Linked DNA regions of Caenorhabditis elegans. The protein of the gene in region 2 purifies or fractionates together with the protein of the main gene of each other region. This does not show direct contact. Each region holds a gene or a part of one and is shown on either strand. Other genes may lie near its edges. The genes, in order: ceh-99 and ccr-4.

Region 1 (16,215 bases), on a different chromosome or scaffold from region 2:
AAAAGCAAAAAAAGAAGATCAGAACTGCAGACAACTCACATGTTCTGGTCTGTACTTATCACCACAAATTTTCTTTTTTTTTGTGATATGCAATTATTGTTCCCAATTATGATTTGGTGATTATTGAATGATCTGAGATTATTCATACCTTCTGAAATATAGCTAGCTAGATTTATAGTATACTTTTGCATCGGACACCTCGCTGGACTTGCCATGCAGTAAAGGAACCCGCGAAGTGTCGGCTGCTAAAGCTTTTTTCACGACTGGCTAAATGCCGGCTGCTGTTATTATAGTTTCTGAATAAAACACACTGAAGACTACAAAAGTTGCAAAACTTTATTTTCGCATTTAAAAGCGCTCAAATTAAAGAAATCGATATGGTTGGAACTATCATTGTTCTTGGCTTCAGACCAAAAATCTTGACTCTAATAATTTTCCTCACTTCTTCATTAACAGTATCATTGATAGAAAATATTACGAACCTGGAAAACAAAATTTTAAAATTTGAGATTTTCAGCTTCACCTACCCCTCCAGAGTTCTTAAAAATACCATTGAAAATGAGAGAGTTATGAATTGAAAAAATAAATTTGGAAATATGTTATAGGTTATTGTAGAGTTAAGTGAGTCGACTATAATAAGGATGCTTTGAACAATTGCTTGAATTATTAATTTCCGGTTTTTTCTATGACGATATTCCAGTTGAGCACTCGAAACTGTTGGATCGGGCTGGAAAATATAGAGAAATTGTGATAAAGGAATCTTCTGTAAACATCAGACTACAAACTACAAACTACAAACTACAAACTACAAACTACACTCTTACCGAGTTCAAAACCAACTTCATAAATAACAAAACACTGCAAAAAGTTGTCACGACTGTAATAGTAAGCATGACCCCAAAAAATATATTCTGAGCTACTTCAGTGCACGGTGTGACTTCACCAATCCAGCCAAGATAGTCACGATTAAATAGGTAGTGACAACCTTCTGAAAAATTTTTTAAAAAGTTTTCAGATTATTTTGACAATTTAGGGAGTTTTGGATTACCTGGAAGCAGAACAGCAAATGAGAATAACGCGATCAGTAGCGAAAAGCCGATTCCAAACTGAATTTTTTTTTGAAATTTGTGTTTTATTCATTAGAGGTAAACTCACATCTGTAGGATTTATACGATACTTTGTCATGTGCAAAAATGGAAAGTAGACAGCAGTTATCCGGTTAATGGCCAATAAAATCTGTGATAACGGCCCAATGCTCCATCCAAACCAGCCGATGAGTTGTCCCATTATTGCGTTGAGCCACTGGTTCGGCGGATTTTCTCTGGAATTTTGAGCAGGAATTTTTCGCCCAAAAAATGTGACATCAGCACGTTCTTAATCATGCAAAATAAGTTGACTATCAGAAATCAGTCGTCTGTTCTCCCGCATTTTTTGTAGATCTACGTAGATCAAGACGAAATGAGACACTCTGACACCACGTGGTGTCAGATGTGGCAATTTCCAACTTACAATAACAATGTTGGAACCGGGAAAACCAAGTACCCAATGCAAACCACACTGCTCCCGAAGCTATTGAAACAGCAAATTTTCAGAAATCCATCGTGTTTCGTGAGTCGAGAAAGTGTGGTGATGAAAATAAGTGCATTTATGGCGGATCCAATTGTGCTAACCTAGAAATTGATTTTTTTTTTAATTCTGACTTAAAATTCTGAAGCGTCTCACTAAAATGAGCATTATTGCCGAAACAGTGCGGGTGTTGGGGGTAGAATATTGAGAATGTAGAAAATCGTCCAAAAAGGAGGAACTGTTTGAAGATGACATTCTGGAATTGAAGAACTACTACAGCCCAGAAGTAAACGTTTATAACATTTCTAAGAACTTTAAAAAAAAGGTACAAAATGCGTGATGAGCATGCGTGAAATGGCTCTATATCACGCTTTTATCGCAAATTATGAAGAAGGAAGTGTTCTTTAAAGTAACTCAAGCGGAATGAGGTTTTTTGCAAAATTGTAGCCGCCAAAATTTTTTTGTTCCTAGTGATTTTATAAATCCGAAATTTTGACATCACCATCCACAATTTTAATTGAATTCTGCGAACCTACATCAACTGTGAGAATTTATTAATGAATCAAAATATTATTCGGTACTGGAAAACAAAACAAAACAAAACAAAAAAGTGTTTTTTTTTTTTGACAAATTCTATGGAATTGACTGCGATTGCCGAGCATAATTTCGCTGGCCAGTGGACATCGATCTCTTCGGCACGATGAACACATTACTTGCAGAACTCTTCATTCGGAGCATTTTCTTCACTTCTTCATTGATCGTTTCATTGATGGAAAATACTACGAACCTGAAAACAACAACGTCTTAAAATTGGAAAGCTTTCAGCTTCACCTACCCCTCCAGAGTTCTCAAAAACACCATTGAAAATGATAGAGTTATGAATTGAAAAAATAAATTTGGAAATAGGTTATAGGTTATTGTAGAGTTCAGTGAGTCAACTATAATAAGGATGCTTTGAACAATTGCTTGAATTATTAGTTTCCGATTTTTTCTATGGCGATTTGCAAGTTGAGCATTTGAAACGCGGAAATTGGGCTGAAAATGGGAAATGAAAGAAGAAGGGGGCTCTGAACTACAAACTAGAAAATACAAACTACAAACTCCAAACTACAAACTATAAACTAAAAGTTACAAACTAAAGCATTTTATTTCTCAATAATTGTAAATTAGAGAAAAAAATTTCTCGAATTTTCCAGAGGATTTCAGAAGTTTCGAGAATTGTTCAAAAGTTTCCAGAACTCTCCAAATAATTCAAAAATTTTCTAGAATTTTTTACAAGTGTCTAGAAATTTCTAGCACAATCCCGAATATTGCAAATTTTTTTTGGAAAAATCAAAAATTGAATTTCGCTGGTGTCAACATCACATTACCACTTGAACACTACTTGAATTTTGAACTGGAAACTATAAGTTATAAGCTACAAACTACAAAGGAAGAACTACAAACTACAAGGTAAAAACTACAAACTACAAACTCTAGACTACAAACTACATTCGCTAAAAAACATAGAACCAAAAGATTCGAAAAGATTTTTGCTGCCAAAACTAGCCCCCAAAACGCGGAACCAAAAGCTCACGGAATGTATGATCAACTTGATGAAAAGCAAAACACTGCAACACGTCGTTAAGGCGCAAATCGTCATCATAACGACCAAAAACGTCTTTTGCATAATATCAATGCACGGAGTGAACTCGCCGACCCAACCGAGATAGTCACGATTGAAAAGGTAGTGGCAGCCTTCTGGAAATTTAGAAATTTAGGCTTTTATGGTTTGTGGTCTCCTGGGTACTTGTGTATTACATGCCCTCATTTTTAAATTAAATTATATTTTCATTAATTCCTCCAATTAAATTAAACGTGATATACATTTTTCCTCTTCAGGCTTACAAAATGTTATTTCCTAAGCCTAAAAATACGAAAGTGTGGTTCACGTTTTTATTTTCCAAAACTTAAAAAAATAACCATTAAAATGAGGGCATGTAATACACAAGTACCGTCTCCTGTTTCCGGTTTACTAGAATTTTTGAAATGGTGAGCAATAAGTCTTAAACTCTTACCTGGAAAAAATGAAACCAGAAGGATGAAAGCAACAAAAAAAGAAAATCCAATACCGACCTAAAATTTCAAGTTCACCCTGTTAATTCCCTTCAACTAAAAAACTCACATTTGTAGGGTTATACCGATACTTTTTCATGTATAACAATGGAAAATAGACGGCTATGATTCGATTGACGGTTAGCAAAATTTGAGACAGCGGGCCTATACTCCACCCGAACCACGCTATAAATTGGCCCATCGCCGCATTTAGCCAGTGATTTGGAGGGTCTTCACTGCAAAATTTTGTGTATTAAGGATCATATGAAGCTTTGATGAACTTACAGTAAAAGACTTGGAACCGGAAAAGCCAAATACCCAATGCAAACTATACAGCTGCCAAAACTATTGAAGCAGCAAATTTTCAGAAACCCATCTCGTTTTGTAACCCGGAAAAAGGTTGCGATGAAAATTAGCACGTTCATTATAGAGCCAATTATACTGACCTGGAATTTGGAAGCATTTATTTCGTTTTTTTCTAACTCTAGAGCTTCACCACAATTAGCATAACAGCCGATACAGTTCGGGTACTTGGAGTTGAAAATTCCGAATATAAAAACTCGTCCAAAACAGAACTCATTTTCAAGGTAGTTGCAGTGTCCAGTGAGTAAAAATTGCAATTAGCGCCCCCCCCCCCCCTATGCGTAATCTTAGGTGTCACTGAATTTATATTAATATTCTGCCAAAAAAAAACCAATTCAATCAACGCTCAAAAAAAAAGGTGTCCAAATCGCTTACTCACTCATGTATGTAGGAACAAAATGTTTTACATTGCGGAAACCGGGAAATGTCGGGCGCTGCAAAGTTCTACAGTTCACTTTTTTTTTGTCAAATAAATGGGCAAGCTATGGGTAGGCGGCAATTGCCGTTCGGCAAATCGGAACATTGCCGGTTTGCCGATGTGCCGAAAAATTTAATTTTCGGCAATTTGTCGGTTTGCCAATTTGCCGGACATTTTCAATTTCGGCAATTTTCGGGAAATTGCCGATTTGCCGTTTCCGGATATCAATTTGCCGGAAGCGTTTAGAGGGATATTTTTATAAGACGGAAAAACTTAAAACTGTGATTTTTTGAATTTTTTCCCGTTTTCAATTTGCAAAAAACTTTCGGCAAATTCGGCAAATTGGTATTTTGCCGGTTTGCCGATTTGCAGGACATTTCAATTCCGGCAATTTGCCGATTTGTCGGTTTGCCAGAAAAAATCGTTTTCCGCCCACTTCTCGCCTCTTTTTTTCTTAAAATTCCCAATTGTTATAGTTAAAACATCAAGCTTGACTTCCTGATATTTGAAACGTTTTAGGAAACAACAAATTGAAAAAATTCTGAATCACCCCCTCCAAAAAAACATTTTCAATTGTTCAATTAAAGTCACAAGACGCTTCTCCTGATTCTATAGAAATTCGAAAAAATCAAAATGATATAAAAACTCATCAGGAACCTTGAATTTTCATGCAATTTTCTATTCATGTCAAGCCCGATCATGTCAAGCCCAATAATGGTGAGCCTGCCGGAATCTGCAAAAGATGCTGAACCACCATCGGAAATAGATGCTCGTACGATAATCGCTCTTCTCCTCGTTACTGTGATTTTCTGTGTTTTTATTGGATTTGTGGTGATAGTTTTGATTTTTGGTAAATAAAATCAAATTTGGAGTTTAGGTTTTTGTAAAAATTTGAATTTTGCATATTTTATAGAAAAGAGCAGCGTCAAAATTTAAAAAAAGTGAGAATTCTACGACAAAGGCTTTGCCGGTTTCTAAGCTTGAATCGCCTGAAATAAACACAAAAATTGAGCTCACGGAGCAATTTTACCAAAACAAAATAATAATTTCAGAACCATCAAAAATCATAAATCTCAGAAGCCCAGCTACGAGAATTTTTCATGAAGCTATAAGTATGAATTTTGAAAAAAATCGAAAAGAGCCCGATATTTCAATTTCGTTAAAGTTTCATTCTAATTTGTAAATTGTAAAGAATAAATAATGATCACAATGCCACATTTCTAAAGTTCGGCTCCAGCAACTTCATCTGCTCCCCCAGCGCCTTGAAATGTTCCGTTGTGAGACGCGGATTCCGAGCTCGAATTCTGCAAAGCCCTCCGATAGTCTGATTGAGAAAATCGGCCATCGACGAGCCTTCAATCTGCTCTTCTCGAAAGGAAGTCTGCGCCGAGCGGGGAATTATTTGGTCCATCCATTCCATGACTTGGGAGTGCTGAAATTTCTAGGTTTCGGGGATGGAACTTTTGCCTTAAAAACTTACCGTCCAAGACCTCCAATCCCTGTCTCCTCGGTTTCCAGGATCTTGGAGAGAACCATCGATAGGTTCTTGCTGAAATACATATTTGCACTTTTGCGTCTTATGAACCTGCTAACTTACTTTTACTTCCTCCACACTAGCCATTACCCTTACAGCTGGTTCACTGAGAATTGAAGACTCTGGCAACGCTCTGTGTCGTTTTCTGAGTTTAGCCTGGAAAATGTCAAAAGTTTAATCCATTAAGCCCATATCTAGGTTGTGGGACGCTTGTAGCAGGGGTGCGCGGCAACCGATTTTTCGGCAATATCGGAATTTTTGGCGTTTGTCGAAATTGCTGACTGGCGGAAATTTTGAAAACCGTCAATTGCCAAAATTGCCGGAAATTTCCAATTGCCGCGCACCCCTGGATTGTAGTCTCCTTCACCCACTACTTGGTTTCAGACAGGTTTCAGGTGAGCACCAGGTCCCGGAAACTACGCCTACTCCCATGGAAGCCTCAGAAAACTCACATCGCGAGCTCCCTTATTACAATGGCTGTTTAAATTGCTCTCGGCTGATGGATCGGAAGTTGAACAGTGTGGCTGATTGTTCTGAAAACAAAAGTCTTAATTTATTTGAAACTCCACCTCAGAGCTCAAAAAACCTCAATACTCGGAGATCGTGGCTCTTCATTTGGCTCCCGCTGCTCAGTTTGTTTACTTTTCTTGTCTTTCTTGCTTCGAGAAGATGTTGTTGAAAGATCCTTAAACCGTCATGTTCATAGGTATAACGATTGAGCAAAGACTTACGGCATCAGCTCCTGCAGAAGTCCTTATCCTCTTTGTCGCATTTCCAATTGTTTCCATCTCCTTCTGTCGTTCCTTCATTCCAAGCGGCAGCGGGGTACCATTATTTTTATAGGCCTTCATGGCTGTTTCTCTAGCTCGTGTGAACCATCTGCGAATCTGAAAAAAACGTTTTTTAACGTTACCGCTAAATTATAAAAAACCTTTACTCCTTCTATTTGCGTTTTTTCTATGAGTTCAGCTATCAGGCTATCGTTGGGAAATTGAAATTTCGAGAATGTCTCCTTGAAAAGTTTAACAGCGCTTTCAGAATGTCTCTCAAACTTTTCCCTATCTTTTATCTGAAAATTCTTAACTTTTTACTTAAAACAGTCATGTATAGACCTTTTTCTGCGCTAAGTACTCCTGCTCATTTTTCTCCGCATCCTTATGTTTCGAAAACTTTGCTCGTTCGTTTTGTGCGGAGAAGTAGGCCGAGATCTGTAAAATTTGAAAATATACGGGGATTTCATGGAACTAAACTTACATCCTTACTTTCTAACCCTCCTTCCTCTTTCAATCTATTAAGTGTTTCCTTTGTGAACCCTGGATCCTCTGCATATGCTATTTCAAGTAACTTCATCTGGAATGGCAACTCGGCGCCTGTTTTATGAGCAGCTTCAGCTTTTGCTCGTCGTTTTCTGTACCAAAACCAAATTTGCTTCTCATTGAGCCCTGCCTTTTCCGTCAGTTCCTTTGTGAGCTCTCGAGTTACATATTGGTGAGTTTTGAACGCATTTTCGAGAATCTTGAGAACTTCTGTGGAATGTGATAGACCTGGGGTTCCTGTCGCGATTCCTGCGTTAATTCTTCTATTGTAGAACCAGGCATCGAGCTGGAAAAGAGCATGGGGGAAAATAAATAGAATTTAGAAAAAAAAACTAATTTTAATAATATGCAAATATTTCAAATTTTTTGATTTTTCACGTGGTGTCAGAGTGTCTCATTTCGTCTTGATCTACGTACAGTGCTGGCCAAAAAGATATCCACTTTTGGTTTTTTGTGTGTAACTTTTTTCTAAGTGGTTATTTTGTTTTGAAACTTCACCACAGTGTTCACAAAATCTAAAAACACAATATTCATCAAAAATGTTCAACAGATTTTGAAAAAACTTCAGAAAAATTCAAAAAAATCGAAAAACTAGAAATATTGAAAAAACCGAGGTTGCAAGGAAATGACAATTAAAGTACCGGAATATGAGCAATTGGATTTAAAAACAACATAATTATGCTTAATACTTTGTCGCGTATCCGTTTGCATCAATAACAGCTTGACAACGACGTGGCATCGAGTCGATCAGCTTGTGAATAACTGACATGGGGATAGCTTTCCAAGCGTTTTCCAACTGGTTGAATTTGGCATCTGCATTTGAAGCCCGAATACCTCCAAGACGTCTTTCCAACTCTTCCCACAAATGCTCTATTGGATTCAAGTCCGGAGACTGACTTGGCCAATCGAGCAAATGCACACGACGACGTTGAAACCAGGAACGCACATGAAGAGAAGTATGCTTAGGATCGTTATCCTGCTGAAACACGAAGCCACGGCCCACATTTTGAAGTGCCCAGGGTCGCATTGTAGTTTCCAAGATGTTTTCGTATTGAAAACGATCCATAATGCTTTGGATTCTCCTTAGTGGGCCCATGGAAGTGCTGGTGAAGCACCCCCACACCATGACGCTCCCACCTCCATGCTTAACGGTTGGGCATTGATACTTTGGAGAGTACCTAGAGCCAACAGGACGACGTACCCAGGAATTTCCATCACTCCCGAACAAATTGAACTTGCTTTCGTCAGACCAGATGTGTTTAGCCCATTCCTGACGTCCCCAACGAAGATGCGCTTTTGCCCACGCAACTCGAGCCATGCGATTTTTCTTACTGATGAACGGTTTCTTGACTGGCTTTCGTCCGTGTAGTCCTGCTTGCTGTAAACGTCGACGAACAGTTCGTTTACTTGGTACAGGTTCATTTGGAGAACTTATAATCATTTGAATATCCGTGGCGGTCCTATGCGGATCTTCTCTTGCTGATCGGAGGATGTTGCGATCCATCCTATGGGTTGTCACTCGAGGCCTGCCGGGCGAGATTCTCAAAGCGACGGATTTCTAAACATTTATTATTAAAAAATAATATTTTTCGAACTCACCTCAGTTTGGTACTTCTTGATTACTTTCCAAATAGTCGACGGAGAACGTTGAATTTGCAGCGCGAGCATTTTCGTGGGTATTCCTTGTTCGAAGCCAGCTACAATGGCTTTCTTGACGTCCAAGGAAAGATTTTTACACCCAACAGATTTTACCATACCTTAAAAATAATTTATCAACCAAACAAATCCAGTGCAACAAACAGAGTGCGTTTTATTGATAATTCAAAAAAAATAATGAAAATTGGAAAAACGAAAAAATCAAAAAATTGAAATAAAATTCAGAAAAAATCGATAATCATGTAATGTTTGGTCCGCAAATTTGCGTAACATTTCGCTTTATGCACACGGAAAAATTCAAGTCAAATGGATGCTTGAGAAAAAAGTTACACACAAAAAACCAAAAGTGGATATCTTTTTGGCCAGCACTGTAGATCTACAAAAAATTCGGGAGAAGAGACGCAGAGTTCTCAACTGATTTTGCATGGTTAAGAACGTGCTGACGTTACATTTTATTGGGCAAAAAATTCCCGCATTTTTTGTAGATCAAACCGTGATGGGACAGCTTGACACCGCGTGGTTTTGTCAACTTTAAAAAATTTCAAAAATCAGAAGTTTAACAAAAGTTGCCCGAAGTTGAGCGACTCTTAGAGAAATTATTATTAGAACGTTTCAAAAAATTCGGTTAAAAAGATAAGAAGTTCTATTTGTGGCCTAATTTTAGACATTACTATTAGAAAAATTACTATTAGAAAATCAATGAAAAATAAGACAAAAGTTTCTCAAATTTCTAGGAAAAAAACTCACCCTTCTCCTAGTCATATTGAACATTGCACACAACTCCAAATTCCTTTGTCCTCGATACGGACTTTTTGCAAATTCTTCTTCAAGAATCTTGTGTTTTTCCTCAGCAGATATCGGTGCCGTCTTCTTTGAATTTTTTGTATTCCTCGAGTAAGAAGGTGCCATTCTAGTATTTGACAAAAAAATAAAGGCGTATAATTTACCTTTGACAATTTGGAATAATATACCACAAAATAAAAAAAAATGCTGCGTCGATATTACCGGTACAGAGAGTGTTGATAGTTAGAGAGTGACAGACATCCGGGACCCAATGGGGCGGGGCGCGCGGAAGAGACGACGATTTGTCTCGATTTACGAAATGATGACAACGAGGAAAATTTCGTAAATCGACACAAATCGTCTCTTCCGCGCGCCCCGCCCCATTGGATCCTGGATGTCTGTCACTCTCTAACTATCTACACTCTCTGTACCGGTAATATTGTCGGTGTAAACTGGCGTTGTATTTGTCTGCCACTCTCCTCAATTTTCACACTCTTTTTCATATTGCCGGACGGCCATCATTGCATCCAGGTGTACACGGCGGGAAGAGGTCAAATTCAAAAAAGATGAGGTATATATAAAAGGTGATCTAGGAGGTCAAAATTAATATATTCAAAAACAATTTTTTTTGAGTAAAAGGTTAGATATTTGAATCAAAATTCCAACGTGAAAAGAGTGGTGAGGATTGTCAGAAATTGGACGAAAGTTTTTGACAATGTCAAAAACCCATGTAACGCTAACTATCGTTAGTTACTGTTTCATAAAATATTACTGTGCGTATTTTTTACACAATTTTCTAGAAAAGTCCACAAAAATCGGACTGGAATGACCTTTTGGATCAACTTCTTGTGTACACTTTTCCGCTAAATTTAAAAGCTTCAAACAATTTTTTGAACGTCAGGTATGCATATCATTTTAAAATGATGAAAAACTCTACCTTTGTCTAACTCCAATAACTGATTCAACATTCCAAACTCTATACCAATTTGGACAGCTATGGCCTGATGAAATGACATTCTGTGCGTATTTCCTCAGAGCACAACCATCCAAACGGGCGGTTTGGCAGATGCAAAAAAAAACTTACCAGAATATAGATAGGCAGCAAAAAAATTAATTTCAGAATAAGTGAACTGAAAGCGAAACGAACAATGGGAGCGGCGCGGAGCATCCACTGATAAGAGCTCTTTGTCCTCCGGGGCTCTTTGTGTGTTCCTACCAAACGCCACAAAGAAACCCCTTCGCTTATCAGTATCAGCATCTCAGCGCCATCGCTCCCAGTTTTATAGGTCGATTTTGACAGATTTCTGCGTCGAGACTACGTGGCACTGATTGACGTGTACGAGAAAGAAAGGGGCATGTGCCTAGCACTGACAGCCGTTTTTTGAATGGAATAGTTTTTGTAGCAGTGATAAGGATTTTGGGCTAGATGAACGAATATAAGAAGTTTCTGGAAACATTGAAAATCTGAGGGTATCGGGAGAAAATGTAGATTGGGCTCATTGTGCACATAAAAATCATTGTCCTAGCTAGTTTTGTCATCAATTTCCCAAAGCTGTAAAATTGGCCCCTTTGCCGCCGTTTATGTCTTTTTTCCCGAAACTTTGGGACATTTTGTTTAATTTAATTTAATAATCGTTGCATTTCATAGATTTTTTCGGCAGTATTGCAATTTTTTACAGAGTTCAAATTTTCCGAATCGTCTAGTTTTACAGCGTTCACTGTTAAATCAATTTTCCAGCTCACCTGTGAGCCTGTTTTTCCTGGCTTGTTTAATTTGCCCATTTACCTTATTTAGTTTACATGCTTGCTCTTCAGTTTGCCCACTTTGTCCATTTTGCCGGACTTGCCCGATTTGCACTATATATCAGTTTTCTCAATTCTTATGTTTGTCCAACTTTCCCAAACTTGCCATTTCATCCAATTCACCCGATTTGCCCGTTTGCTCAATTTCCTTAAATTCCGTTTACTTCCCAATATTCCAATATTTCTTGCTCGTTTTTTTTCCTCAGTTGGCAGCTTTGACCATTTTCTCAAACACTTTCATTTTGAAGAAAAAAACCGAGAAACCGGCAAACTTGAATGTCAATGTTTTAAATTTCAAATTGACAGGCAATTGATTCTCTTTCTTTCGAAAAGCCTTTTACAGAAATGTACTATCACTCATAAAACTAGTGATAACAAGTTGGAAAGCACCTTGTGATATTTTGTGCTCACAGTTTATAGGAATAAGTACAGGTTTGAAGGGAAGTGGAGACTTGCAGATTTCGGGTTTTCTTCACGGAACTGACTATGCAGTCAATTTTGAAGAGCCTAGAACATTATCTTGTCTATCTCTAATTAGCTCAATCATGCTGCTCATTTCGAATTCCAATGAAAAATAAGAGATATGCTTGTTAGCGCTTTTTTTTGCATTCATTAAACAACGTTCATTTCATGAAAAAGCTTCAGATAGCTTCTGAAAAATATTTTTGTGAATATAATGAATTTAACATTCTACTTTACAACTATTTATCCAATAATTTGCCCTATGGAAAATCGATATTTCGCAACCAAAGCTGGATATACAAATACATGCCGTTCTATTGGAGTCATCTCCCTGCCAATTCACTTTCTAACAGGTTACTGTATTCTTTTCAAGACCCCCGAAGAAATGAGACCGGTGAGGAATAGTCTGATCAATTTGTGGTTTTGGTGCTCACTTTCTCAAATAATGGTCTCTTTTTTCTTCACCCCCTTCTACTATTTACCGTATATGGCTGGCTTCTCCGCAGGATTTGGTACGGACTTGAATATTCCAACCATTATTCAACTGTATATAATTTTTGCCATTGATGCTGGTCAGCTGAAAGTGAGAGAAAACTGCCATAGAATCGTAAAATTTACAGCAAACATGATGGCAGTCGTGATTTTATTCGAGAATCGAAGCAGTTTGATATTTAAAAACAAGTTTCGGATTTCAAAAACTCGAAGTCAAGTGTGTTGGATTGCGAGCAACTTTTTAGTGGGCATAGCCTGCTTAGCCCCTATGACATTTATTATTCCCGAGCAAAACAAAGCGAAGTTAGATATCTTAAAGGTGGGCATTAATTTTTATCAACATACAGTAGACAAATAATAAACGTATTCCAGACATTCCCCTGTCCCACCAAAGAATTCTTCGCAACCTCGACCACCGTATTCACCATCGACCCATATTGGGAGACCTTCATCGCAAACTCCTTCAAAATCACCCGCCTGGTGTCTGGACTTCAAGTTATATTTTTCTCATCGTGTTGCATATACTACCTATGCATTTCAAAAACCACAATATCACTTCAAACTCGGCAGTATCAAATTCGTTCCTTCATTGGACTTATCATTCAAACTTTTATCCCGATTTTATTGGTTGTGATCCCATTGACAATATTTCTGAGCCAGCAGAAGCATGAAGCGTACGACCAGATAAAGAATAATATTACCGGAATATCATTTGTGTCTTACAGTGCTATTGCAAGCATGTCTATTATTTTGGTACATCAGCCTTATAGAACATTTATATTGTCATGTTTTATGAAAGAAACGAAAATTGCGTTCAGTCAAATCTAACAATAAAGAGGATTATTTATACAAACACAAGCACACATAAGTTACTTTTATTGGGCATATTTTCACTGTTTTAGTGAGCATAGCGTTAAACCAAACCACAATTTTGTCAGTGAATTTATCGTTATCCGTTAATGACATTCCGATTCATCAAGTCGTAAGACGTCATACTATTCAAATCTGGTTTCCATGATCAAAAAAACCTCGTCAAGCGTAAAATTTGGTGTCTAGTTGAAAAATAATTAGCTTACTCATGGTCAGAACAGTGAGACGGGACGCCTTTATTAAAATCAAAAATTCAATTTTCGTATAGAATTCTTGAGCTCACTTTTTATTTCGACAATGTCCATTGAGCTGCTCAAACCCATTTGTGTAGTGGAAAATCCATTTCTTGTATCCGAAAATGGTATGAATTTTACATGCGCTCTAATCGGTTTGATATCCCTGCCAATTCAAATTTCGACAATCTACTGTATTCTGAAGAAAACACCGGGGACGATGAGCTCTGTGAAGCAAAGCCTTACAAATTTAATTTTTTGGTTCATAGTTTCCCAAATTATTTTTTCTTTCATCGAAGTTCCTTACGTTTATTTTCCCTATAAGGCATTATCCTTTATTGGGTTGGGCACCCAAATTGGCATTCCCGTTGTTATTCAATTTTATATAATTTTGATTGGAAACGCAGGTATTTTATTCAAGGGTTCGGTAATGTTCAAATATTTCTAAAATTTGCAGGAAATCTCTTTTTCCTTATCATGTTATTTGAGAATCGTAGCAGTTCTATTATACTAAATAGATTGAAAATTGACAAAGTTCCCTCTAGAGTTGTATTTATTTGTGTAAATGTAATTGGTATTTTGAGTTTTCCAACGTTTCAATTATTCAATCTTCAGGATCAGTTTGAGGTGAAAATTGAGGTTTTGAAGGTGAGTGTACAAGTTTTTTCCTTTAAAAAAAATAGTCGGTTACAGTGCATTTACATTTACAGTTACACATCATTTACTATATATAAAGTAGAGTTCCGTCCGTTTTTGTAGTTTTGGGAAATATCAGTTTTGAACTTAAGAGGCTGGGGCCGGTGTATGGTAAATGACATATGCATGTCTAATAGTTTGAAATTCGCCAGCCGTTGGCCGCGCAGGTGGCGCGGTCAGCTGCTGGTTTAGTAATAAAAAAAATCTCGTGAAGTGTCGGCTGCATTTTATGTGGCCCGCAACATGCCAGCTGCGAATTAAAATTTGAACTTTTTTTGTCACCCATGAACCCAATCCCGTATATCAGCAAAATGTTTTTTCAGACCCTTCCCTGTCCAGCCGAAGACTTCTTCGAACCATCAACATTAATATTAGCATTTGACGGTTTTTCGGAAACCTACATTATTTTTTCTTACGTTTTCATGTTCTCTATCGCCATATTTGAGATGACATTTTTCTCCGCATGTTGTATATACTACTTGGTCTTTTCTACAACCACACAAATTTCTTCAACGACACGAAAATTCCAGCTTCGTTCATTCTGGGCAATCACAATACAAACCCTTATTCCGCTATTATTTGTGATTATACCAATTACCGCAACGATGACAAAAGAGAAACAAGGGTACAGTCAGGTGCAAAATAATCAGATGGTGATACTTTTCCTGATGCATAACGGAGTTGCTAGTTTGTCAATTCTACTTGCACATGCTCCATATCGAAAATTCCTGAAATCACTTATTGTTCGGGAGAGGCAAAATTATATTGTTTTTGTTTCAAGGGAATTTATGAAATAAACAATTATCTATTTCATTCTTATTTAATTTTTAATTTTTATTACGCTCTAATATTTTATTACTAAACTTTTTGTAGTTAAAAAAAATTAAAGAATGAAACCCAGCAAGAAAAACAACGTCACTTGTCCTGAGCGTCTAATGCGTTTATAATGTGCATCTCTCTCTCTCTCATTATCTCATCTCATTATCCTTTAGCCCATTTTTCCCGCATATCAAATTCTTTATTTCCTGAGCTATGTTATTTGATCTGTGGTTATTTTAGCCGAACGATGAATTTGTCAGCATACCCTTCAATTTGTTCCCCAGAAAGTCGATTTTTAGCATCAAAAGAAGGCTTGGCTCAGGTCTGCCGTACAATTGGAGTGGTTTCTCTACCAATTCATGTGCTAACAGGCTACTGTATTCTCTTTAAGACCCCAAAAGAAATGAGTAATGTGAAAAATAGTTTGATCAATTTGTGGTTTTGGTGTACAACTTCTCAGATTACTCTTTCATTTTTCTTCACCCCATTCAACTTTTATCCACATAGTGCTAGCATCTCAGCAGGATTTGGAACAGATCTTCATGTTCCAACTTCAGTGCAATTCTATATAGTTTTCGCGATCAACTCCGGTAAGTACTGGTTATAAACACTTAAATTTTGAATCAGTTTTCAGCCATGTTAATTTCAATTATCCTATTATTCGAAAATCGAAGCAGTATGATATTGGAAAATAAGTTCCGTTTCTCAATAAATCTGTATCGAGTTATTTGGATTTTCCTGAACATTCTTGGCAACTTCGCAGTTTTCACTCCAGTATTTCTTAATCTTCCGGAGCAAGGAAAAGCTATACTTCATTTATTGAAAGTGAGTGTTTCACTTTGTAGTTTGTTGTTTATAACAACAAAAAAATTTTTCAGACAATACCCTGCCCTACCAAAAAATACTTTCTGGAACCAAGTGTTGTGTTCACCCCCGGCACATTTTGGGACACCTACTTAACATCATCGTTCAAGCTGATATTGTTAGCCACCGGCTTACAAGTACTATTTTTCTCCTCCTGCTGTATATATTACCTATTCGTGAAAAGCGGAAAAATCTCAATGTCAAATCAAACTCGGCGACTACAAATTCGATTTTTCATCGGAATTA
Region 2 (17,541 bases):
CCCAAACTCTTCCGGCAGTCCATGCATCATCGACATTGATATCTCTAGATTGTCCAGCATTGAGCTTGAAACCACCTCCAGATGGATTTCCGGGGCCGAGAATTCCTGGCCAGATGGTGAATGGGCACTTGTTGTAGATAGTGATTTTGCGGGCTTCGGCTCCGAGAGCCAGAAGAAGTACAGCGAGAGTAAGCTTGATGAGCGCCATTACTGAGAACTGAAAAATTGAATATTTTTGAGGAGCTATGATAAGAAGCAGAAAACTTGAATGTTCAACTGAACTGTTTAATTTCTTTGGCTCACAGGCTCTTTTATAGCACAAAAGCTCCGCCCATCGCGCGATAATTTCTGATTCTTCAATTTTCTGTTTTTTGGGCCGTAAGGTTTAGGAAATGAAAGGTGGAGACTGGGGGTGATTGATAGGAAGTCAAAAGAAGATGAAGTGAGTCAGCAAACTTGTTTGGCCCTTGAGTAATATTTGTGTATAAGCTGAGGAATTGGATCTCTTGCTCATTTGTTTTTGAAAGGAATCCGTACTTGTAAAATAACATTGAGACAGTGTTCATCTCGTAAGTCTTGCACTATATTTTTCTAGATTGAAGTTTATAAATTGGTTGTCTTTAAAATGTTTGAAAAGAACCTGGAAATACAGTACCCCAACTTTCAAAATTGTGATATTCTTGGGGAAACAAACGATCAGCAACAAACTGCAATTTTCGATTTCCAAACATGTAAAAAGGTTAGCCTTCTAAATATCAGTTGAAGTATGTAAAATAGATCTCCTACCCGATCGAGACTTATCCCCTTCCTGTCACTTCCTGAAACCTCCATGGAACTGTTGCCTTACTGGAAAATTTTAAAAACCATATTTGCCACTTGTTTTCGCCAACCAGTCATGCTTCCGCAGCTTTATTTTATTTGACATTTATGTCGACATGTGAACTTTTGAAGGACTGTAAACAAACCCACACAGCTCTAATAACAATCCAATTTTGAACTCTGATTCAATATTTCCATATGAACATTTTGTATTTAATACTTTAGGTTTAGCCAGGGTCAGATTCGAGTGCTGTTCTAATCTTAGCAAATTACAATTCCATAGACTATTATTTTCAGATGCACTTTTCCTAGAACATACAAAAATTGGACGACTCTCGTTTTGTTATCAATAAAATTGATTTGTGGTTTCAGTATTGCTTCTCGTGATAGATAACAAGCGCCTGGAAAGAAGTGTTAAAAAGTTCTAGAGCCACAATTTGATACCAAAAATGTTTTATGTTTTGAGAGAGCAAGTTTGAGTTCAATTTATGTTAAAGTTTGAATTCCGGGAGCGAATACTTCTGAAATTCTGAATTTAAGTTTTTTTAGTCACATCTACATACATATCGAAAGCGAGGAAAAGCGATCTCTGAATGAACACAAACTCCGAACAAAGATGGAATCACATATTTCATTCAACATGTGGAAGAGCGGTATCAATTGACTGCAAATGTAATTTCTGGAGAATACCTGCCATACAAAAGTCAAAATCTGACCGTTTCCTATTTCAAACGATTGCATAATATATTTTTAATTTTTTACACATGTATGGAAGTTTAAATGAGTAAAGGAATCCATAAAATTTTTTAAACGGAAATTTCATGGCACCGAAAAAAATTTGTTAGGAAAATTATTTGCAAACATAAATCATTGGTTAACCTAAAAATAGGAAACGCCTAAGATTGGGTCATCAAATTAGAGTTTTGCGGTAGCAGTAGTGTATCTGACCTCTAGATCCAAAATGTTCCAACAAACAGTTGTTGGAAACCTTCCGTTTGATCGATCCACGTGGTTTTCTTCTGCCCATTTCCGGTGAATTCTTTTTAAAAATCTTTATAATCTTCTCATTTCGTATTTACTTTCATTTTGAACTGTTCACTGATAACGAATTTGTCCCAATCAGAAGGTAATCAGAAATGGAATCAACTCCATGAATTGAGAAAAATGCGATGGGTACAGAAAGCAGTGGAGTTTCTGCAGGAAATGTTCAATTGAAAATAAACGGGCGGTGCGAACTCGATTGGTCTTTAGATCAGCTAGAGGAGTATTTAAGGAACAATGCTACAGTTGGTTCAAAATTGGACAAACTTTTGTTATCGGAAAGGAAAGTATGTAAGGAAGACACTTTACATTACGGGAAGTTGACTACAGTAGTCTTTTACGAATATTTTTGCAAACAATTTTTATAAACATAATCGATCAGCAATTATTTAAAATTTCAGATGATTTCCATCTGGATTCTACTTATATCTCTGCTCCTCACTGTGAACAGCCGGACAATCGTAGTCTATAATAATAGATGCGTGGGCGGCAAAGTATTTAAATGTGGATGATGATTGGAGAAATGGAAAGATTTGGGCACGGACTGGATGTGATGGAGATTTCAATTGTGAGACTGGAACTTGTTTGGTGAGTTTTCCGTAGTTTGAATGTAACTTTTTTGAAGTCTATAGATCTATACTTTAACAGTGTATCATTTTGAAAGTATAAGTTTCTATGGAAGTTTTGAAACAAATAAACACTTGGGGATATTTGATCAAAACATTTTGAACAATTTTTTAAGTTCAGCCAAAAAATTGTGTAAAAGGGAAATACGAAAAAGTACTTTAGATGTTCTAGAATATCTGAAAGTCGTGAATTGTCAAGGACGTACATCATTTTTTTTTTGATGAATATTCCAAAATCTATTACCAAAATACATTTTCATTTTCGGGCAAATTTTTGGTCTTTTTTCTGTCAAACTCTGGGCACGTTTTACGGTCGTCGAAACTATATAATCTTTTTGCCAAATTTTTGCTACTTTCTGCCAAACTTTGGGCAAGCTTCTCAACAGTAAATGTTGACAGGAAGTTTCAAACGTTTCGCAGAATTCACACGCATATACTGAATAAGTTTCAAAACATCCGAAATTGGGAATACCCGAAGTCTTGAAAAAAAATGAAAAAGGTTTGAGAGTTTTACACTTTTTCCAGAACGCAGAACAATGCAATGGAAGGACAGGAACTCCACCCGCATCTGTCGCAGAATTCAATTTGAAATCTTGGGCTGGAAGAGACTTTTATGCAGTTAATCTAATCGATGGTTACAATCTCCCAATGTTAATTGATGGGTTGGGATGTCAAAGAGCCGGTGGATGCATCTCTGATGTAAATGCTGCATGCCCTACAGAACTTGCAGTGAAGAGTAGTTCAGGTTACACTGTTGGGTGTAAATCTGGATGTCTTGGATATGGAACTGATAAGGAATGCTGCCGTGGGGAGTATGATTCTCCAGATAAATGCACAATGAGCTCTACAACGAAGATGTTCAAGAATGCATGTCCAGGTGCATACACTTATCCATTTGACAACTCAACAATGTTCGTGTGCTTGAAACCTTCGTCGTATACCGTTCAATTTTGTTGAATTTTTGAATTTTTTACCAAAAACTTAACTGAAATTTCTAGATAATTTTTTTTTCGAATGAACTATTTTCGGTTTATTGAAAGTTTTTGATTCTTGCTTCACTGATAACATGAGAAAAAAGATACAGTTATCTGACCAATCAACTATTTAATTCGGCGTCTGTCATGCCAACTTTTTGGTTAATATTCACAAAAAAAAGTGTTGCAGAAAGTTTGTAGCAGAAAGAAAATGCCTAGAATACAAGTTGGTAATTGAAATTGGAATAATGTCTGTCACCTATTTTTGATTCAACGTTTGGTAAAAAGAGCTTCAGATATTGAAAACTAATGGAAACTTTGAACATGACACCTTTTTTTACCCAAAAAATGTAAAAATGCAAGAAAAATATATTAACTAAAGTTCTGACTATCAATGACCGTTCTTTAGGTTTCAAAAAATTAATCCAGATAATTTTCACAGCCACAGTTTAGGTAGTACTGCCATTTCTCTTGACAATGCATAACATTTTAGGTGGCCTTTTACAAATTTGAATATGCATTTAGCTCATCTAGTTCACTAATTACCCTTTTTAATGAAGTGTTTCATTCCAATAAACGTCTCCTATGACCTAATCTCCTTCCCTTCGAGACCATATAGAGAGAGAGAGAGAGAGCAAACATAGTATGTCAGACAATGATGACGTGTCTACCTCTTGGAAAGGTCAACTGCTACGGTAGATACCATCTATTAGCAGTGCTCCTCTTCTTGTCTCATTTCACTCGCACAGGTCCCTATCGACTGGTTGTCACCCTTTTTCTGTCTGTAATATTCAAATAATGGCTTCGATCGAACTCCGCAATGTGCAAACCGAGCTTGCCGCGAAGAACTTGCAATTCAAAGTGCTCACTGAAAAGTTTTTGGAGCAACGAAAAGAGCTTTTCGATGCGAAGAAGACTGATTCGAATGTCGAATATGTGGAATGTTTGAGTGAGAAATTGAGAGTTGCCACGGAAAGAATTTCGGATCTTGAAAAGGAGACGAAAGAAGGAAAACAAGTAGCAAATGAGGAAATTGGTCGATTGGAGAAACTTTTGAGGGAAGCACAGCAGAAAAGGGATGCGAAAATTGATGAGTGAGTTTTTAAGAATTTGAGTTCCTAAAATTTATCGAATTATTTTTTCAGGTCATATCAGACATTCTTGAGAATCGAATTACTTGTGGCTAACCTTGGTGAGAGCACAGATCCTGAGAATGAAAAACGGTGAGTTTCGGAGCCTACCCAAGTTAAAACGCAACGCCTCTAAAGTTGGGTCTCGTTAGGTATTGGCGAAGGCAAAATCAGAAATTCAAATTTTTTCAAGAGTTTTTCCACTATTTCTATGTCGAAACAAATCATGTAAAATACACGAGAAACCCTTATTCAAATGCATCTTTAAAGACCATTTCGACATTAAAATCGATAATAACAACAAAAACGTTTGAATTTACGAGTTTCCTGCCAATACCTAATGAGACCCATCATTGGAGCGCGCTTGTGCCTTGATGATTTCAAAAAACCATTTTTTGCGTCCCCATAATAACAAGCACAAATGCAAAAAGTAACACTTTTCAGAATCAAAAATTTGATGCCAGCAGCGAAAACTGGTATTCCACCAGAGGGTGTTTTGAGATTGACGATTAATGCATTGGACAGTGCTGCTAGAGAATCCAAGAAAAAGACGATGGCCATCGAGAGCCTCACGAAACAGGTCGACGATGCGAACAAGCTCACTGAAGTCTATATGAAACGGCTTGAAGAGCTGGAGGACAAGCATCGATTCGAAGAGGCGCTCACGTTGAAGATCCAGGCGATGATGATCGAGACGACGGGGCAGTTGGAAGCCCAGAAGAAGATCATTGCGGATCTTCAGAAGAAGAATGACGATCTTATGAAAGAAGAGGAAGGGGAAGAAGATTATGAAGAGGAGGAGAACTACGAGGTTGAAGAAGACTTTGAGGATGAGGAAGAGTATGATGAGGAGGGAGAAGAGGAAGATTACGAATAAAATACATACTAGTTTCTACTTTTTTATTTTACTGTTTGTTTTTTCCTTCGTTTCATAAATTTCCAAATGTCAAATCTTTTAAAGAAATAATTTCAAAAATTCAGTAAAAACAAAACGAAAATAACGCAAAATCAACAACAACAAAAAATAAAATTGATTATCCTTCTATTTGAGACGATCCAGAATGTGTTTCTTTTTCGGAGCCTCGTCATCCACTTCCGGTGCTTCAAAAACTTCCTTCTCCACCGCATGTTTCTCCATATTCCGTTCCATTCGAATCTGATCCTTGACAATATTCTTACGAGCCTCCATCTTCCAACCACTCTTCTTGCTGCGCATCTTGTGACGTGGCGTATATTGAACAGCCATCGGACGAATGTAGAGAATCTTCTTTCGTTCTTCCTCTTCCAACTCGAGAAGTCCCTCATTGACCTTGTTAATGTCGTCTGGGTTAAGACTGATGAGCTCCGGTTGAATCTGAAAATTAGAATTTAGTTAGCATTACAATTTTTGCAAAAATTTTTTTCGCTTGCCAAAGAAGGGTCTTCTAAATTGCTGTAGTATAAGAAAACTCCGAATTTTCCGTGGAAAACTTTTGTGAAATTTAGAACCAAGTAGTCTGAAATAAATTTTCAAAAAAAATCTCATTTTTTTCGAGATTGAACATAATTTTGTAACTAAAGTTTTCATGAAATATAGAGAAATCAAGATTTTTTTGGAGAAAATTTTTTAAAGGTTTCTTTTTTATTGGTGAGGTGCTTTCGATTTTCATGATAAAATCATAAAAAATAGAGTTTTTGACATCCAGACTTCAAATATCAAAATCGAATAAAATAAATTCCATACCTTATCCAACAATTGTTTGATTTCTCTTTCCTTTCTCTGTGATTTCGTTTCGTACGGATTAGATCTGAGCGTATCAACGTTCGGATCTCCTGCCCCTGGCACCAACATACTCGTGAATCCGCCTGCGTGTCCAATTCCGAGCACATCTTCCCATGGAACAAATCGTAAATCAGTGACCACACCTCCACAATTGTGCACCAAATACGGCTCTTTACACGTCCCATTATGCATTCCACGGAACACTTGTACATGGTTTCCAACTGCACAGGCAACGTTCATTTTTTGAGAAATTGCCACGTTCGACACTCCAAATGGTAGTGAATATGCATGAAGTTGACGGAACATTCGAACATCCCAAATACGACATTTCCTGTCGAGACCCGTGGTCGCCATATAATTTCCCTGATCATCAACAGCAATTCCTTTGACTGCGCTCAAATGAGTCAAAATCTTGACAAGTGGTTCTTTTGAGTTGGGAGACCACAAGGACACGGTTCCATTTGTGTGTCCAGTGTGAATAATGGCATTTGCCGGATTCTGACACATCACATCAAGAGTTCCAGATTTCGTTGCAAACGAGGCAACTTGTTTTCCAACAGACACATCCACGTAGTTAAGGAACGAATTTCGCGAAGAGCCGACGAGCAGAAAATGATGGGGAAGAAATTCGAGGCGAGCTGTGTCGTACATGGTTTTCAGGCAATGAAGTTCTGTACCCAAGTTGTCGTATACATAAGTATAGTTTTTTTGGGCGACTGCGATGAAGTTTTCCGTATGAAGAAATCTGAAATTAATCGTTGTTATTAATGTTTAACAAATGTAATTAAACGTGTAATTAGCATCCATATGTTCTAAAGCTACCGAATTTTTTACAAAATCATCTTGAAAATTTCCTTTTAACAAAATACGCTTTTATTAAGTTGATTGAGGTGCATTTTGCCCAAATTCGGTGGTATTGTGTGACTTATAGGCACAAAAAAGCACTTCAATCAGCGAAAAAAAGAGGTCTCAGCGTAAAACAGTTTTAGAAATTTGGACGCCATAACCTACTTCACATCGGAAACCTTCTCCATCACACTTTGCTCAAAATGAAGATGCTTGGTTTGCCAATCAAGTGCTGCCAAATGTCCTTTTCGTCCTCCAATCACTAAATGCCTTCCATTATCCGTATAATCAATGTGATATGGTCCGAATCGTGGCAATTTCAACTCGAAATGTTTTGTGGCTGCAGCCAAATCAACTGATTCAGCGATATCTTTCTGTCGGATGCTGTAGGTCAGCGAGTGATCCTCCTCGTCGGGGGCTACGAATCCGGTCTGAAATTATATTTTGTGAATATTTGAGTAGCAATGGAACAACTCACATTTTCAACAAGACGTTTCTCGGCTTTAGCGGTAGCTTCAATTCTTCTCTGAAACTTGTCCTTCGTCACTTTCATTTTTTCCTGTTGAAGCTTTGAACGCATCGAAGATGGATCAATTTGGTCTGCTCCTGTATCATGTCGTTCAAGCTGCTCTTTTGTTAACACTTTTGGCTTTTTAGCTCTTCCTTCTGTATTCTCAGTTGGAGGCCTCTGCTTCTTCTTTAACTTATTTCGTGTTCCACCGCCAGTATGCTGCTTCATCTTTTTATACTCTTTCCAGCTCATTTTCTCCTCCACACCCTTTGCAGGTGTGACATCGGTAGCCGTGATCGAGATTTTCTTGACTCCACCATCTGGCTTGGATCTTTTGATTGGCGGCATTACTGTAAAATAATTAACTTTAATTATTTCTACAAAAAGTAATATAAAACTATTAGAAAATATATGTTTTAAATAGGCAACAGCGAATGCAAGAAACAAAACGAGAAATCTTCATCTAAAACGGTTGTCGTCATCTAAAATGCCGCGTCCGCAAAAACCTGCTGGCGTGTTTGCACACTTTTGTCTACCGTATCCCTAATTTTTGCGGTAGTTCAAATTCTAGTTTTCTTTAATCTAAATTTTTTTTCCTGTCAGGAGTCTCAGAGTGGAAATTTTCTTAAAAAATGTTTCTTTCTGCAAATTCCTGTTCTCACTGCAAATCCATTGCAAACCACTGCAAACTCACACTGCAAATTCCTGTATATAATTTTGTGCTCCATTTTTCAATGTAAAAAGAACAAGTTACATGACGAAAAAAATGTTTCATTCGATGAGACAAAAGGGGAAAGTTGATTTTTGAAATATTGTTCTTATTTTTGTTTAACTAATAGTTTTAAAAATTAAGATGATGAATACAATAGGAGAAACGTTATATCCGAGACCGATAACAAAGAATTCAAAGCAGAAACACGCAACTTGGACGAGAGTGTGGGAGAGTTTGTGAGAGAGAGAGAAGGAAGCAGAGGGTGAAGAATGCCAAAAAGTAAGTCTTTAACTATACATAGGACCAGAAACGGAAATAAGGTATTATTGTAGGTAGTTATTGGAATATAGACGGTGAAATAGCACACAACGAGAGGAGAGGTCAGGTAGAGAAACTCGACCAGCGAGCATCGCGCGCATCTCGTATACCTCCGGCTTCTGGAAAACTCATCGAGTTTTTTTAAAAATTCGATACAAAAAATTCAATCTCAGTAATCTTGCATGTTCGATCTGATCGCTTCCGACATTTCTTTTCGAACACATTTCATGAATGAAAAGAAGCGTGTCGGGAGCAAAAAGCTAGATCGAATTGCACAAATAACGAGATTTCATTATTTTTTTCAAACTGAAAGTAATCTGCGCCTCACGTTCTCGTACACTCTCTCCCTCCTCTCACACTGCACACCTACACCGTAACCGATCGTTGCGAGACCATTTCGCCGTGAAACCCTCAGTATACGAGTCACGAAACAGAGGGGATCTACTACAAAGAGAAGAAAAAGAGACGAGAGGGGGACTAAATGGAATAGAATGGAAAAATAGACTCTTCCATGAAGAAATCGAAGACAATCGAAAAAACGGAAAAAATATGAAAATGTTTTGAGTGGAATAAAAAGAATCGAACACCCCAGGGGCTACCAAAATATACTCAATAAAACTGATCAAAAGGAGAAAAAGAAAAACTAACAGATAAGAAATGAAGTGAGGGAAATAAAAGGGTCGGATCGAGGGAAGAGGGAGAACTCGTAGGAACAAAAGAAAAGTATGAAAATGCGCGGCGATGGAACATAATTCAAATATATCACAATTCAAACGAGTTATCAATCGTAATTACGAAGGACTCTACGTAAGTTTTTTATATGAAGAGAGGGAGAGAGTGGGGCAGATACAAGAGCACACAAATTGAGGTATGAGACAGAATGGTGAGGGAAGAGAGGGAGAGCCAGTTGTACACGAATTGAAGAACATTGCAGATGATGATGGGGTCAGCACCTCAGGAATGGTTGGGCTCCTGAAGGTGTTGATGGAAATCCTCCTCCAATTACACCAGCTGCAGGACCAGCCTGTTGAAGTGGTTGCTGTCGTTGATGTGTTGTTGGTATGATTGCATATTGAGCCATAATTGGAATATGATCAGATGCTACATGTGGATGAGGGAATCCTGGAAAACAGGAAATTAGAAAACTTTTAAAAGAGAACTTCCGATAAATTTGTTTGCATTATTATACTCAGAATGCGCATGAATAAACGAATTTCAAAATTAAAGTTTTCAAAAAATGTTTAAACAATTTTTATGTCGATTTCAATATTTGAAAAAGGCAAATTTTAGCTAAAACTCCAATGTTGGATACTTTTTCGAGTCGCAGCGGTCGGAAAATAATTTCGATGTTAAATTGTCCTCTAATTTTTAGTTTTTTTTTTCCATTTTTGTGTTTTCTTTTTATATTTTATAGATTAATAAATGATTAGCGTAAATCGACACGAGACATACAGTAGTCATTTATAGAATTACTGTAGTTTTCGCTAATTTGAGACAAACGACTAAACTATGCAATAAAGGATGATCATCAAATAAAAGTTAATTACGGAGCACTGTGACATAAAAAAATAGTAAAATTGGAGATTTTAGCAAAAATCAGCTCATTTTTTAAAAGAAAATTTGAACCGTCGTAGAAACTTTTTTTTAAAGAAGACTCATTGCAAAATTCGTTAATTTGGGCGGTTTTTAAGTTTATCTAAACAAGCAAAAAATCGAGAACTATTTTTAAAAAAGTATATTTTCTCACCAAGAATCTTATTCGACTGAACCCACTGTGGGTCAAATGGTCCAAGTATTCCAAGTCTCGCGAGTGACTGTGGTGTTGCGAAAATGTAATCAATCATTCCTTTGAAATCTAATGTGTAGTTTGTGAATGGTATCGAATTAATGTCACAAGCCGAGTCAAGCCTCAAGGGATGACTGATCACATTCTTGTCCGTCGAGTTGGTGAACTTTTCAAGACAAGAATCATCACGGAACGACTTCAAATCCATATGACGACGTGTTATTTGTCCTTTGGAAAGATATTCAAAGACACCAGAATCCGGAAGGGAATTGAAATCACCACATATGAGAACTGGAACTTGTTGTTGCGTGATCTGATATTTCTTTGATACTTCTTCGAGTACTCTTGATACTTCATGAGTAAGCATCATTGATTGTACCAATTTGACATCACAGAATTCAGGATCCCAATGAATATGAGCGGTCGCGACGACAAGAGGATTTCCGACCACGTTGTCATTCATTGGAATTTGCATCCGTCCCAGGAATTCTGCAAAAAAAAACAAATGTTTTTTTTTTAATTTAGAAAAAAAACTCACTGTTAGCGTAAACGCTTTCCTTGATCTTCAGCACAGCGCACAATCCAATATTATCTCTTGGCATGACACGATTGAGCATATTCTCACTCGTAGACGCCTTCTTCATCGCCACACTTGAAAATTCAAACAGATATTGCTTGTCCATATCAAACTTGTCAACTTTCCAAAAGATTGCACATCCATCCACATACTTTCGTTCCTCTTCTCCCATTGTCTTGGCACGCGATTTGGCTTCAAAGATGCCAGCATAACCAAGTTGCTTGAGTTCAGGTTGGAAAAGTGTTCGGAATTGTTCCGTTTCAACTTCTTGCAGCGTGATCACATCTGCTTCGTAGGTTCGGATCTCTTTTATGATGAGCCCTTTTCGGTATTCCCAGTTGAGAGCCCAGGAAGGACAGTACGAATATTGATTGACCGTAGCGTACTTGTCACACAGCACATTGTAGCAGAGAACGGTGAATGTGGCTGAAAATTAAATATTTAATTGTACTACAAAAATTATAAATTGAATGAAAATTCAGCATCAGAGATGTGAGGCACATTTTTCTTTTTGGAAAATTATATAGAAATATTCGTACTTTCGAATAATAACTTCTCTATCGCTCTAAATTTTTTACAAATTTCTCAAAAACCGACTCAAATATAAATCAGTTTTTGAGCAACTTTACAGAATTTCATTTCAAAGTAAGGTTATTTTCAGAAAGTAAAAATATTGCTCTGCTTTTTTTTAAATGAATTCCAAAGAAATTTCTGCTCAACAATGCTTCTGATATTTTTTCACTCACCAATTGGTCGTTCCGGATCTGCATGTCGGATCATTACCCAGTTTCGTTCCGGTGGAGGATGAGTGTTAACTGAAATTTCATAGTTTGTACAGAGTTCCCTTTTCATCAAAAATATATTCACATTTTCCCCGGCAATTTCCGTTTCGTTTTATGATGGCCTAACTAGACATCCTAGGGCTTTACTGTGTTCAATCCCACTCGATTTCCTTTTTGAGGCAAATATTATACGTTCAGAGATGTCGTCGTCCCCCTGTCTCTTTATGTAAACGTTCGTGACAAAGAACGAAGCGTAGAAAAAGAGAAAGAATATAAAAAAAGAAGAAGAAGACGATGAACGACTCGCAATTATTCATGACCGCTCACAGAAAGCGACAAAAAAAAAACAATATGACTAGTTGAGCGGATTCATCGAAGATACATACGGGAGAAGTGAAAAGGGCGGTCACTAGTATTATATCGGCCATATTGTGATTTTTTATTGGTTCTATGAAACTTGAAACTTGGATGAATAATGCTTCTCTAAACTATGAACTCAAAACTTCTTTATCTGATTTCCCTTATTCAATTCTTTCAAACACTTATTACCAGCATAACCATCTGTGCCATTTTAATTTATTGTTCGATCAACGGGACTGAAGATGAAGAGGCCGCCAATATTGAAATGTGTCAAGTGCACTCTCCCTATTCATCTTTTTCTATTCTCATTTTCAGTTTTCTAAACCGACGGAAATCCAAAATGAACTGAGGATATGGATAATCAAAAGAGGAGTTGACTTTTTACAGTAATTTGAAATCCCTCACTAGTTTCTTTTTGTTCATATTCAGGTTTTTGCAAAGTGGAAAATTAGAGGCTCTATATTTGATCTTTCCATACAAAAATTCCCAGACACAAGCGCCATGTTCAAACGACCAATTTGTTCTACGCGCCGTCACCACCCGGTGGCCTCATCCATCCATCGACTCGGACGGCTCGAAACCGTGTGTAAACATATCGTGCACCGGAGGGCAACCCAAAACACTCTTCTCACCGTCGTCAAAACACGGTGTGTTCTCTTTGCCTGTTGGGATAGATGGTGGTGAGCTGGTGATCCGAAGGGGGAGAAGAACACACTTCAAGAGAGAGTGAAAGGATCATTTGTAAATAACACGTTTTTGTGCATTGTTTCGATGCTTCGAACATGTCTGTGCTCCGTAATTAGAAAAACTGCGATTTATTAGATTATTGTTTCGGAGAAAATCAAGAAACATTGCAAACATTTCTATCAGATTTTTCCTAATTATCTCAGAAAACAGCTTCCAGTGTCTCACAAATCACCTGGTCAATGCTTATCCATTCTAATATCACTTCCTGCCAGTCCTCGCGCAATCAGTGATACCAAAACAATCCGACTTTCCAATGTCTCTAAACTGCCAACCATATTCACACTGAAGATGTGGAAGGATGTGACACCGTCCGAAAATGGCGACAAAAACTTGTTAACGCTTAAGACATACACACACCATCACTACCGTCAAGCCGTGATGTCCACACTCATACACACACACACCGTTGCCATTGCCATCCTTTTCCTGCCATTATGCTACAAATAAACGTACACGTTCGCCCCATATCTTCTTTGTCGTCCGCTTCTCTTTCTCTCTCACTCTTACGTCAAAATATGGCGTAATCACCATCGACCGATCGTACTTTTCAATGCCAAAGATGCGCAGAGATAACGGCGAAAAAGATGAAGCTGAAGCTGAGATTCAGGTAGAAGACATATGGAGAGAGATCGAATAGATGGAAATTTCGAGATTAAAATTTTACAATTTAATTAGGAATCCAACAAACTCAAGATTCAACCTGAATATTTTATAATCACAATTGCTCGTAACAATTTTATTTCAGTCACGCTTGTCAAAGCTAAAAAACCGCCAATCTAAGTGAACTGTCTATAGATAAGTGAAAACAGAACATGTTTACGATAGCAATCTGGAAAAAAACTATCGGAGAAAAGAAACAGAAGGAAGAGAAGATTAAGCTTTATGAATATTGTGGTGAGATAGTAGTAAAATTTGTCTCAAGTGAATACAACTTTCACTAGCTGAATCCTATTGAACTTTGGGAATGAACACGTACTTACCATGAAAATTGAATGGAAAACATTGGGACTCAGACATTGTTCGATAGGGGAAGCTTGAAGATTTTGGAAATGAAGAAGACATTTTCAAAAAGTGTGGTGAAACATCTTCTTCAGAATTATTCGAGATCGAACTCGGCGATGTTGTAGATGCTTCCGAGATACTTGCCATAGAGAGATCATTGGTTATCAGTGTGAGAGCACTGTCTACCGGTTTCATAAATGATGCATTTGACGGTTGTTGATACTCGTACCAAGAAGTGTGGTGATTGGAATATGATGGTTGATGATAAGCCTGATAATGGTATGCATCCGATATGGTTCGTTGGCAAGTTTGATGAGTATTGTATCCGTAAGCTGGTGATAATCCAGATGAAATCTCATGTTTTCTTGATTGAAGTATAGTAATTGGGAAGCTTCGAGTGTGTCCCAAATGTTGTTTTTGACGGGATTCATCATGTGTCAGAAATTCATAATTAAGATCATCATCTACAACCATCACACCACTTCCTAAAGCAGCCATTTCAACATAATCATAAACATGCGGTGGCTCTGGTGGTCTATACTTCTGATCCTTGATTCCATTTCGATTATGCGACGATGGATTATTGAATGCTGTATGTTTATGAGCTTGTTGAAAATTTGCATCTATCGGAGCTGATAGATTTTCGCTCTCCTCACAATTTCGACGTCCTTGTCGTTTTTGTAGCAGCTCAGCCCATCTTCTGGCTCGTCTCACAAATCTTTTTCCACTGGAGTTTCTTCTCGATGGCGATTCGCCGTCTCCACTGTCGGCCATATTTCAGAGGGAACTTCAGTACATTTTCGAATAGTAAGTTTGGATGGCCAGAGTTGGTGCACGTTTAAAGGATGAAAAAAGAGAAATGGAGTAAGAAAAGGGAAAGCAGGTGGAATATATGATGTAAAAAGAAAAGGACGTTGGTGAAAGGCAGAATGGGGGAATACTCTCAAAATGGGAAGCTAGTCAGGGCGGAGCCTTGTTCCCGTTTAAAACTCATGCAATGTGCTTCTGCCGCCGGCTGCTGCAGAGACACAAACACACGAAGGGGAGGGCGTATACAACGAGGGAAGACACTTTTCCGAAATGGGCGGAGACTGTTCGATCCTTCCTCGCAACGACGAACGGCAGAGAAAGAAGAAGCCGTGTAGAAAAAAACGAGGCGAATATGAGGAGGACTCGGGGGACGTAAGAAGAACAGATGATCATAAGCGAAGAGCTAAATAGTGCTAGAGACGATGAGTCGCAGACGAGCGTCGAACTAAAAACCGTGTATACGTATGGCGGTGGTGGTCACTGCGCCACCATTGCTGCGTCTCTATGGTTTATCTCTCACACTCGTGTGCCGCTTCTTTTTTAGAACGTTTTCATGTACACTGGATGAATGGCTGGACACACCGGCACATTAAACATGATATGTCGAGATTTGCGTGGAGGTTTTAAGAGATAAGTGTTCTTCGGAATGAAAAAATGAATTACTTACTATTAGAGTAAGTTATTTCATTTTAATGAAAATTAGTTTCGTTCTTCTAATTTTCAGGTAACACTTTTTTCTCTTGGAAATATGAGCCATTTCGTTGGTAGTGTCACAAAAATCATATAGTACTGCATAATAAATTATTACGAGCCTATTACAATTTTGTTTCCTACTGGTTTTCGTACTATATGATATTGTGAACCTATTTTTTAAATATACGAAACCAGTTAAAAACTTGTCTGCATTATTTTTCAACACCATTTTCTCGGTTTACACTGTTACTTTTTCTACTGATTCGATTACGATTATGAACACGAACACCCTTCAAGTATTGGTATGGCAATGCTTTTTTCATGACCACTTTCACAACTTGAAAGAAGAAACATGCCCCGAAAGAGAAAGTAGTTTGTGGCATGGGAAATCAAACTAACACGGATAATAGTGATAACGAACATCCTCTCTGTCTAATCAAGTGAGGGAATTGTGAATAAACTATAAGAAATGCAGAATTATCTACTATTACGTCATTCGGGGGATACAAGTGAAAGTTGAGATGTGTCAGACATTCAGGAGGGAAAAGCACGTCAATTCAAATCATATATTCTAGGTCGACGTCGGGAATCTTTGATGAACGATGCATCTTGTTTTTATGCTCCAAACACTAGACCGAACGCTTATTTTTTGACAGCAAAAAGTAAAAAAGTAAACTTACTAGTCAGGTGATCGAGTAGAAATTGCAATATCTTTTGCGCACCGTTGGTCTCGTGATAGATCTTGCTGATTTCCGGCGACAAAGGATTTCCTTGCAGACCGAGCGTCTGAATCCGGAAAAGCTTTCCCAGCTCATAGGGCAGCACACGGAGTTGATTATTGTTCAGGTACAGATGACAAAGACTGATCATATCACCAAGTTCTGTGGGAAGTGAGCGGAGCTTGTTGTTCGATATGTCGAGCATTGTCAGATTTGTCAACTGAAAAATGGGTTTTTGGTATGAAATTGGATTTTTCAAGAAGATTTTAGATGAAGAATAAAAGAATATAATATTTATTATGCTGATTTGTTTTTTGGTAATCTTTTTTTTTGCAATTCTACAAAATGTCCTACTGCCCCATGTTCTCCAACAATTTTTATTTGAAATTAGTGTCAAAATATTTAAAAAAAAAAATTTTTTTCTGAAAAAAAAAATTTCTGCTGGAACATTCAGGAAATTAATCAAAATGGTCGTATCGATTCATCGAATTTTTTTCCGGTAATTTGCCACTTTCAGGTAATTCTTGAGCATTTTCATAAATGTTTCAGGTGAAATAAATATTATTTTCAGATAAACTGAATGATTTTCTATCTTTTGACACTAATTTTGAATGAAAAATGTTGGAGCATCAAAGTTTAGATCATTTTGTAGAATCGATGAAAATAAGTGCCACCGCCGGAGATAATTTCCACACTAATCGGATACCTGAGCAATCTCCGGTGGTAACCGTGTCAGTCCATTGTTGTTAAGAAAAAGAGCTGAAAGATGTGTCAACTGCCACAGTGACGGTGATAGATTCTTCACACGACCTGGAAATATCTCGAATAAAAATTGAAACAATTTTCAAAAATGATTACCGTGTATTTCAAGTTCTGTCCACCGTGTTGATCTCCCACTGGCAATTTCGTCTTCAGTTAACACTCGATGTACTCGACTCATTCCATTGGTTAACGTCTTTTTTCCATCGTTGTTTTCAGACTTTGTGAGTGGCTGGCCAGCTCCTCCGCCTTGTTTGTCCTTGTACTCCGATGTCATATCTCCTGATGACATTACATCACTGAAATTAAAATATTTTATTTAAAACATTCTCCAATGAATTTTTTTAGATTAAAAATACTAAAACTGACCCAAAACAACCTTTTATTGCATATTTTCGTCGCGTATATCGCGTTAATTCGTAGATTTTGGCACATTTCAAATCGATAATTGAATGCCTATCGACTTTAAATGTGCTTAATCGAATTAACACACTATAAGAAAATATGCAATAAAAGGGGAGAAAAACTAGATTCCTGCTGCTGCGACAAGGACAGGGCGACGAAATT

The links.
Region 1: the proteins of ccr-4 (region 2) and ceh-99 fractionate together in Caenorhabditis elegans (co-fractionation; one large-scale study listed by BioGRID). This does not show direct contact.

The regions. Positions count from the first base shown.
Region 1 is NC_003280.10:12,513,853-12,530,067, reverse strand, and holds ceh-99 (Homeobox domain-containing protein), read right to left. Parts: upstream 10,088-16,215; 5' UTR 9,857-10,087; coding exon 9,695-9,856; intron 7,578-9,694; coding exon 7,230-7,577; intron 7,184-7,229; coding exon 7,088-7,183; intron 7,045-7,087; coding exon 6,907-7,044; intron 6,863-6,906; coding exon 6,707-6,862; intron 6,661-6,706; coding exon 6,562-6,660; intron 6,509-6,561; coding exon 6,428-6,508; intron 6,132-6,427; coding exon 6,039-6,131; intron 5,991-6,038; coding exon 5,922-5,990; intron 5,874-5,921; coding exon 5,646-5,873; 3' UTR 5,590-5,645; downstream 1-5,589. Other genes in the region: srx-119 (7TM GPCR serpentine receptor class x (Srx) domain-containing protein), read right to left, coding at 359-482, 528-727, 825-988, 1,049-1,106, 1,156-1,321, 1,510-1,670, 1,723-1,821; srx-118 (7TM GPCR serpentine receptor class x (Srx) domain-containing protein), read right to left, coding at 2,200-2,353, 2,402-2,601, 3,143-3,306, 3,624-3,681, 3,731-3,896, 3,946-4,106, 4,157-4,240; srh-70 (Serpentine Receptor, class H), read left to right, coding at 12,210-12,567, 12,616-12,806, 12,860-13,315; srh-61 (Serpentine Receptor, class H), read left to right, coding at 13,655-13,997, 14,048-14,238, 14,610-15,083; srh-69 (Serpentine Receptor, class H), read left to right, coding at 15,353-15,695, 15,740-15,930, 15,984-16,215.
Region 2 is NC_003282.8:12,362,771-12,380,311, reverse strand, and holds ccr-4 (poly(A)-specific ribonuclease), read right to left. Parts: upstream 15,039-17,541; 5' UTR 14,768-15,038; coding exon 13,972-14,767; intron 11,918-13,971; coding exon 11,849-11,917; intron 11,529-11,848; coding exon 11,064-11,528; intron 11,015-11,063; coding exon 10,487-11,014; intron 9,862-10,486; coding exon 9,686-9,861; 3' UTR 8,460-9,685; downstream 1-8,459. Other genes in the region: thn-1 (Pathogenesis-related protein 5-like), read right to left, coding at 1-208; Protein atz-1, read left to right, coding at 4,259-4,554, 4,606-4,683, 5,035-5,467; wdr-46 (WD repeat-containing protein 46), read right to left, coding at 5,633-5,944, 6,314-7,097, 7,364-7,629, 7,677-8,057.